Linked DNA regions of Oryzias latipes. The protein of the gene in region 1 purifies or fractionates together with the protein of each later gene. This does not show direct contact. Links are inferred from orthologs where the notes say so. Each region holds a gene or a part of one and is shown on either strand. Other genes may lie near its edges.

Region 1 (3,817 bases):
CAGTGAGACCTTTAGAAGCTGCCCAGAACAAATAAAACAAACAAAAAAAAAAAACATTCAAATACTCAATTAAACACTATGAAATGGTGTTCCTTTCATTTCCACCTTACCAAGAGTGTCACCCATGGTGGTGATTGTGCGAGTATCCAAGTCCAGAGTCTGTGAAAGGTTTGACAACACCATGGCCAAGTGAGGACGCCAGTCGCCCCATTTCTCCTCTCCACAGCACTACAGAAAAATTTGAAATACAGCTCAGCTAAAGCAGCAACAAAGACACGGAACTCAATATGCTTTAAACGTGGCCAGTGAAAGAGGATGGCTGCAAAAGAAAGATCAGAAATGAAGGACAGAAGGAAAACTCACGGTGGCTGATGCAGGCATTCTTCCTGACATCAACTGGTAAATCGTCTGAAGAGGATCATTCATTGGTAAACTATTTGCAAACCTAATAAACCAAAACAAAAAGTTATTAAAATATAGGGATAAATTGAAGAAAAACCTTTGAGAGGAACAAATTTGTACTTTGTCATGACACGTGCATGAGTTCGGCTATCCATCTTACTGGCCAGCAGTAACGCGTGACCCCAGAGACCAGCTTTCATGGCAGCTTCCAGAGCCTCCTACTCCCCAGAAAAAAATAAACGTTCAGCTCTCAAAGCTTAGAAACTCTTTGAATAAAGTGCAAAGAGGTCTTTGTTACTTTTTTGCGGCCAAACAGGAGCAATTCTCGGAAGCGCTCCGTTTCCTTGCCAACATTCTCTGGGACAGTCATAAAGGTGTCGGACAGAAGAGACAGCGGTCCAGTTCCTTGATCCTCCTCAGCGTGTGCCAGGGGTTCGTTATTAAAATCGATCAAATTTGCCTCATTGGGACTTTTGCCGGGCAGCCAGACAGAGCGATGCTCCTTCAACAATAGATCAGCGATGTCGGTACCGACGACGGTCTGAAGAAACAAAAGAAAACAGTGATATTTCGGCAAAATCTTTTTTTTAATATACTCTGCATCTTAGTTATTTGAGGCTACATCTGCATAGTCTCACTCCATTCTGTCTGCAAAGAAGCACAATAAAGTCCCAAAGCAGGCGAGCAGAATCCCTGTCCAGGAGGTTGTTGTCACGGGAACACTCCAGTCCTTTGCTTTGGGAGAATTTGATCACGTCCACTTTATGGGTCTCCCCTCTAATGACACACAGCAAGAGGTTGAAGATAACGGACACATTAGATCCTTTTTAAAAATATCACACTACACTTTAAGATCAAACAGATTAGATTAACTGTTTAAATTAAGTTGCTACTGTAAGGAAACTCCAGCGCCTGCTAATATTTGCCAATTTTTAAAATTCAGTGAACACCTGCAAGTTAAACAAAGTACCCAAAGAGTTTACATTCAAAAAATCATAGCAAAAACCAGAAATGAAAGCACTTTTTTTAAAGGGTTTGTGACAAATAGCAGAAATTTCTGCATCAAGCTTTGAGTTTACAAGCTTTTAAAAACAATTATGGAAGCCTCATCAAAACAGCAGTTTATAAAATAATGCCTTATTAAATTATAAAGATCAGCTTAACTGTTTCTCTAAATCTTTTGTGTATGCTAACCGTATGATTCTGCAGTAAAAAAAAGGCCAAAATGAAATATTACATTAAACATTTTTTAAAGAGCTGTAAGTATTGGTGATTGTTAAAGTCAATTGTCAAAGTTTTGATGCAAAGACCAAAACACAAACAAGGAGCGCGTTTATTTTAGTTTCTTTTTCTGCAGTTTTTTGAACCAGTATCTTTGCCTTACAGAGAACATTAAAACATATTTAATTTTTGCTAATTAATTTGGATTTGTAGTTTTATGTAAGATCTAGAGATGAAAAAAACGATATTTTTAAATAACAGTTGAATAGCTCACTTAATGAGAGGACCAGGGAATGCCCGTAGCTCTGCCTGATCAGGAGTGTCCTGCAACATGGTCTGGAAAAAATTAATTTGAACAAGAGGGTGAACACACTGCAAGTTCTTAGCCTTTATTTTCACAATAAGAGTCTAAGAAGCATTATCCTAAAAAGGGAAACCAGCAATGCAAATAATCTTAATGAGGTAAAGAAAGGAAACTCCTGTATGTGTAATGTATTAAACTAACAATCCTGTTAAAATGTTGTCATTACATATGAGCAAATGTGTCTGAGTTACTAATGTGTCCCTATGAGGACAGACAAACACAATCTGTTCAGATGTACCTCCAGGTTGTAGATATCAACCAGAGCTGGCTGTCCAGCTGAGGGAAGATTGGGTAAGACCTGAACCAAATGACCACCGGGTCCGAAGCGGGCACAGCGGTGAGGCATGGTGAACTTTTCTGGCGTTGCAGGACGAGGGGGAGCTACAAGAGAAATGAGAGTCAGACCGAAAGTACTTCACCAAACCTTTGTTTGGATTTTAACATTTAAAAGATGTGTTTAAACCGAGGGTTTTGCTTCCCAATCCTGATGTTTAAGTACCTCTGCCTTGCAAGTTTCACTTTTTTTCTCATGTCAAAAACTTCAATCTCAGTGGTGGGAAACACAGTTCAGTCTGTTCCAGAGAAACTTCTGAACTTCCATGCTTCCTGTGCTTCTAATGATCAATTTATTTAGAACTTGACTCTGTTGGTTTAAGTCAACTAATGCTCAACAGCAGCATAACTCTCGGAGTCGCATTTCATAAATCCCTCACTCTAGAAGCATCCAACATTTTCATCTCTCCCTGGTGGATCCCAAACAGGATTTATCTTATCATATACTTACGTTGTTTAGGGGCAATCCAGGAGCCGTCTGTGGTGTAATCTGAGGAGTAGAGGTATTTCTGGGTGGCATCAGTCTGATCGGGGTACTGCGCGTATGAGTAGTTCACAGCCATAGAAGTGTTGTCACAAACATCGACTGTCAAGTCAGGCTGACTCCTGTAAATCTGGCTCTTTAGTGGGGAGAAAATGGAAGAAAAATAAAAAGGCTCCTTTCAGTGTCAGAATAATCATTATAAACAACAGAGAAAAACTTTTTTCCCCAAACACAAGTTCTGACAAAAGAGGCTGACTTTTTCACAAACCTTTCACTGGTCTACTTGACCACTTTAAGCAGTTTTACACTCAAAATTGCAATTTTGTTAAAACATGTGTAGCATTATTTGAAAGGAGTAAGTGTTCCACCAGTCTGACTGCACAGTCATGTTAAAAAAGCAAATAAGTTTTGCAGAGGATGGAAAAACATTTAGTAAATTGAAATTATTTGACTTTTGTTGTTAAAACTTATGAACCAAGAAAAGACAACAAAAATCCAGTGTGCAGTCCAAATACCTGTTGTGAGCGGGAGCTAAAGCTGCTCTGCCTGCTGTGGTGGCTGTGCGAGCTGTGGACGCTGTGTGCCGACTGCTCGCTGTGGATGCTGCGCCGATCAAAGTCTTCCCCATACATCTCGCCGCCACAACGGTTGTCATCATCAAAGCTGGGGTCATAACCAGGATAGTACTTCCACTGGTCTTCATACCCCTCTTTCCTGCGCAAAAAGGAATGTATATTTAGAAAAAACACAACATACAACCTCAGTTTTACTCCCCAGGATTTAAAATGCATACCTCTGAGGATACACAGGCTGATTATAGTAATTGTTTCTGTATGTGTCATCATAGTAAGACCAGTATGACTGATCATAGTATCCTCTGTATCGTGGGTCCAATTGTCCATAATATCCTTTGCAAAAGAGAAAATGTTCAATCATGACAAAGAATTGACAAAAACTGATTTTACGCAAACATTATAAAAAAAAGTTCAGATCGGTTGAATATTTTCAATTTC
Region 2 (3,817 bases), on another chromosome or scaffold:
AGGCAGCTACAAAGCAGGCAAAAGCCGACGACAGCGCAGGAGTCTGGGACAACAGTCCCGTTCTACAGCGCAGGAGTTTGGGACAACAGTCCCGTTTTACAGCGCAGGAGTTTGGGACAACAGTCCCGTTCTAAAGCGCAGGAGTCTGGGACAACAGTCCCGTTTTACAGCGCAGGAGTTTGGGACAACAGTCCCGTTCTAAAGCGCAGGAGTCTGGGACAACAGTCCCGTTTTACAGCGCAGGAGTCTGGGACAACAGTCCCGTTTTACAGCGCAGGAGTTTGGGACAACAGTCCCGTTCTACAGCGCAGGAGTTTGGGCAAACAGTCCCGTTCTAAAGCGCAGGAGTCTGGGACAACAGTCCCGTTCTAAAGCGCAGGAGTCTGGGACAACAGTCCCGTTTTACAGCGCAGGAGTTTGGGACAACAGTCCCGTTCTAAAGCGCAGGAGTCTGGGACAACAGTCCCGTTCTACAGCGCATGAGTTTGGGACAACAGTCCCGTTCTACAGCGCAGGAGTCTGGGACAACAGTCCCGTTCTAAAGCGCAGGAGTTTGGGAAAGTACAGCACAGAGTGGTTTGATGCTCCACACCAGCAGAGATTTCACACAGAAGAGAGGAAAGCAGGTTTCTGCTGCTCGGACTCAGGGAAGGAGAAGAAATCAGCACATATCAGCCCCTGGCTGATGAAGACTTTAGCGGGGGTTTGATCTTTGACACTCTTGAGTTGCGTAACGGGACAGATTATCAAAATGGGAAGAGAGGGGATGAAGAGGGAAAAGACAGATGGCAAAAAGGAAGCAGCCTTTGAACTGAGAGTAAATCTACGGTTACAGCACCAGATGATTATCAGGCGCCGTGCGTCTTTCTGAGCGCTGACATGTGGCCCAGCTGTGGCGGAGCGGCCAAAGTTCATGTTACAACCAGGCCCTAATTCGTTTTTATATGCAGAGCATGGGAGGGAGAGGACGGATGTCTGTAGGGATTATTGTACCTCCAGAAGGCCAACGGCAACAGAGAGGGCGACACCGGTGGAGCGGAGCGGCCGTTTGCCCTGGGGGACGGGCCAGGGGTCTCTCTGCAACTCCCCCAGCAGGTCTGTCAGATTCATATCCACTCTGTGGATGGGCTGCAGAAACCTGGACAAGAACCCGCAGGAGTCTTAACAACGGCTCAACATAAACAGACTGGGATGTCTTGTCTTGTCTAGATCTTGTCCCTCCTACCTGCACGATGCAGCGGCATCCTGGGGAGCCACGGGACGACCTTGAGGTCCGGTGGCTGCAGGCTTCATCAAACCGAGCATCTCCTGAAAGCAGACGTGCAGATGGAGAAACGTTTCAAACCTTCATCGGGCTTCATCCTACGTTTTTATCCATCATCAACCTAATTTTCCTGATTCTCTCCAGAACCAACCTGGATCTGTTTTGAGGTGAGGTCCTTGGTGCCCCTGAACACGTAGCTCTTGGCGATGCCTTCACAGCTGAGCTCGTGAACTTGGACCATCCGCCCAAAGGTGATGAGACCCACCAGGGCGTTGGGGGGCAGCAGGCTCAGGGACATCTGAAGAGAACCCTTCAGAGCCTGGAGGTCCTCTTCCTCCAAACATGTGTCAACGACGTACAGAAAGATCAGGGGGGTTTGAGGGCCTCTCTGTGAAGAGGACAGAAAGATGATTTCATTTTCCCCATCTATAATAACAAATAAATGTTTGTTTTTTTAAAAAGGGGAGTCATCCCCCTACTCTGAAGACATGGGTGTCAAAGTGTTTACCTGAACAATGTACTCGATGGTGGAAAACTGCGGCATCAGCTCAGCTGGTTGGTTCACTTCTGATATTCCGGCATAAGAAGGAGGAAACTGCACAAACACAAAGACAGATTCTAACAACCCACTCAAAAAGAATGCCAGCGGGTCGTGTTCAGCCGCGGGGGCAGATGTCAAATACTTCAGCACTCACCGGATTCCTCTGGAAGCAGAAGTTGCATGCCCACACTTTGGCCCTGAAGTCAACCTGGCTGTAAGAAGAGGATTCAAACAAAAAGCTGCTTCTTAAACTGTCAGCGGCACTGGAATATGTCAGATCATTTGGAAACAATGAGCTAAAACACAGAGCCTCATCAAAAGAATAGAGTTTTAAACGTTCATGAAATCTTCAAACAGACACTTTAAAACATGGAAGAATCAGAAGAAAGCAATATTTTGGAGGAAAACTTACCACAGAGGGTTGAGCACAGCCTTGCAGTTGGCCCGGCTGCACAGAACCGGCTCATACTGAACCGGGGGGAGGTCGGGTCTCTCCTTCAGAGGTGTGAAGAGGCAGGAGACGGGGACCACCAGCCTGGTGGCTTCCAGCCGGCTGGAGGGCCAGAGGTTCCAGCTGAACCTCACCCCATCTCTGTCCTCGTTCTGCTGGATGAACTCCTGGTAGGTGGTCATCGTTGAGCTGGGGCACAGAAAGAACCCGATTCAGGTCAGTGAGGTGCCTCCTTCAGACTGAAAACCGTGTTGCCCGGACGCGCTCCTGTCAGTTCTGCTGCCGTCTCTAACCAGAGTCACCTCTTTAAAGACTTAAACCTGCCTCTTTGGTGCTAAAATAAGAGGCCTGACGCACAACCGCGTCACCAGAAAACCAGACCGGCTGGTTTAATGACGATGGGAACGGCGCTGAAATACCAACATGAATGGGAAGGTGCGTCCAAATATTAGACAGGTACTATTTTTGCAGGGACGACTTAGATCGGTGTGTCAATAAGGCATTTGTGACGCCCTTTGCAAAGATTCTCCAGGAGCTTGTTGTAGCAACTCCCCTGTGGGACTGTCACACCAAACCGACGACTTCTTCAAGAATTTGAAATCTGCACAGTCTGCTGGCCCAAAAAAAAACAAGAGAAGGAATCCTTGATTTTCAACAACACTTTTCCTTCCAAACAGTCAGAGTTTTCTGGTTAAGTCAGAGAACAAAAGCCCTCCAGGCTTGAGGGAAGGTTTGACTCTGCTTCTGTTTCTGATGTTGACTTTACACTAGGGCTGCACGATATGAGGAAAAGTTGCGTATTTCGATAATAATAATTAGCATTGCCATGACGATATAACTGGCAGTACATGAACAAGCAACTAAAAACATTTCCATTTCACTGGAACAGTTTAATTTAAATAAGAGTCGACATAACTTATATTATACCCCAAATGACCCTCGTCTACATGGGAGGCAAGCATCCAACATAAAACGCTCCGATTGGTCAAATCCATAAAAGGATTTATTTGACTCGTGAAATTCTTCAAGCTGCCATAACATCGTTCTAGCACATTTCAGGTAACCATTTATTGTAATTTTCGCCGTCTTTTGCGATATGCGTATTCCACAGCTTGATATAGCGATAACAGTAAATTTGCGATTTATTGTGCAGGCCAACTTTCAAACCAAAGTCTTCAGGATACTTAAAAAAAAAAAAAACGTATGTAGTTCTAAAATAAAGGATCAGTCTTCTGTACAGTATTGAAGTACATTACAGAGTCGGAAATGTGGATTGGAATATTTCCTTGTTGACGTATAATCTTTACGATCGGATTCTGTTTAAGAACAATTTTATTCTTATTAGGAGTCAAACTGTTTTCTGCTGCCGTCTGAATAGAACGATAAAAAAAATAGTAATTGATGTTGAGGAGGACTCTGTGTGCGGTTAACAAAACAAAAAAAAAGATGCATTGTTTTCAGGACAAGAACATTAGAACAATGTTCTATTTTCTAGTTTTAATAACTGCTGTTCAGAGGGAACATACACAAACAAATATGAGCGAGTGAAGGCGCACACACC

Evidence for each region.
Region 2: the proteins of sec16a (region 1) and protein transport protein Sec23A purify together in Homo sapiens (affinity purification with mass spectrometry; 3 studies listed by BioGRID and IntAct, with this or other methods). This does not show direct contact. The link is inferred for Oryzias latipes from reciprocal best matches to the Homo sapiens genes SEC16A and SEC23B.

The regions. Positions count from the first base shown.
Region 1 is NC_019870.2:8,815,579-8,819,395, forward strand, and holds part of sec16a (protein transport protein Sec16A), read right to left. Parts: intron 3,713-3,817; coding exon 3,598-3,712; intron 3,519-3,597; coding exon 3,320-3,518; intron 2,941-3,319; coding exon 2,772-2,940; intron 2,369-2,771; coding exon 2,226-2,368; intron 1,960-2,225; coding exon 1,898-1,959; intron 1,180-1,897; coding exon 1,041-1,179; intron 944-1,040; coding exon 701-943; intron 621-700; coding exon 523-620; intron 446-522; coding exon 364-445; intron 229-363; coding exon 111-228; intron 19-110; coding exon 1-18. UniProt on the Homo sapiens protein: Acts as a molecular scaffold that plays a key role in the organization of the endoplasmic reticulum exit sites (ERES), also known as transitional endoplasmic reticulum (tER).
Region 2 is NC_019859.2:30,187,164-30,190,980, reverse strand, and holds part of protein transport protein Sec23A, read right to left. Parts: intron 2,446-3,817; 5' UTR 2,439-2,445; coding exon 2,218-2,438; intron 2,018-2,217; coding exon 1,960-2,017; intron 1,860-1,959; coding exon 1,773-1,859; intron 1,653-1,772; coding exon 1,416-1,652; intron 1,309-1,415; coding exon 1,226-1,308; intron 1,139-1,225; coding exon 994-1,138; intron 1-993. UniProt on the Homo sapiens protein: Component of the coat protein complex II (COPII) which promotes the formation of transport vesicles from the endoplasmic reticulum (ER).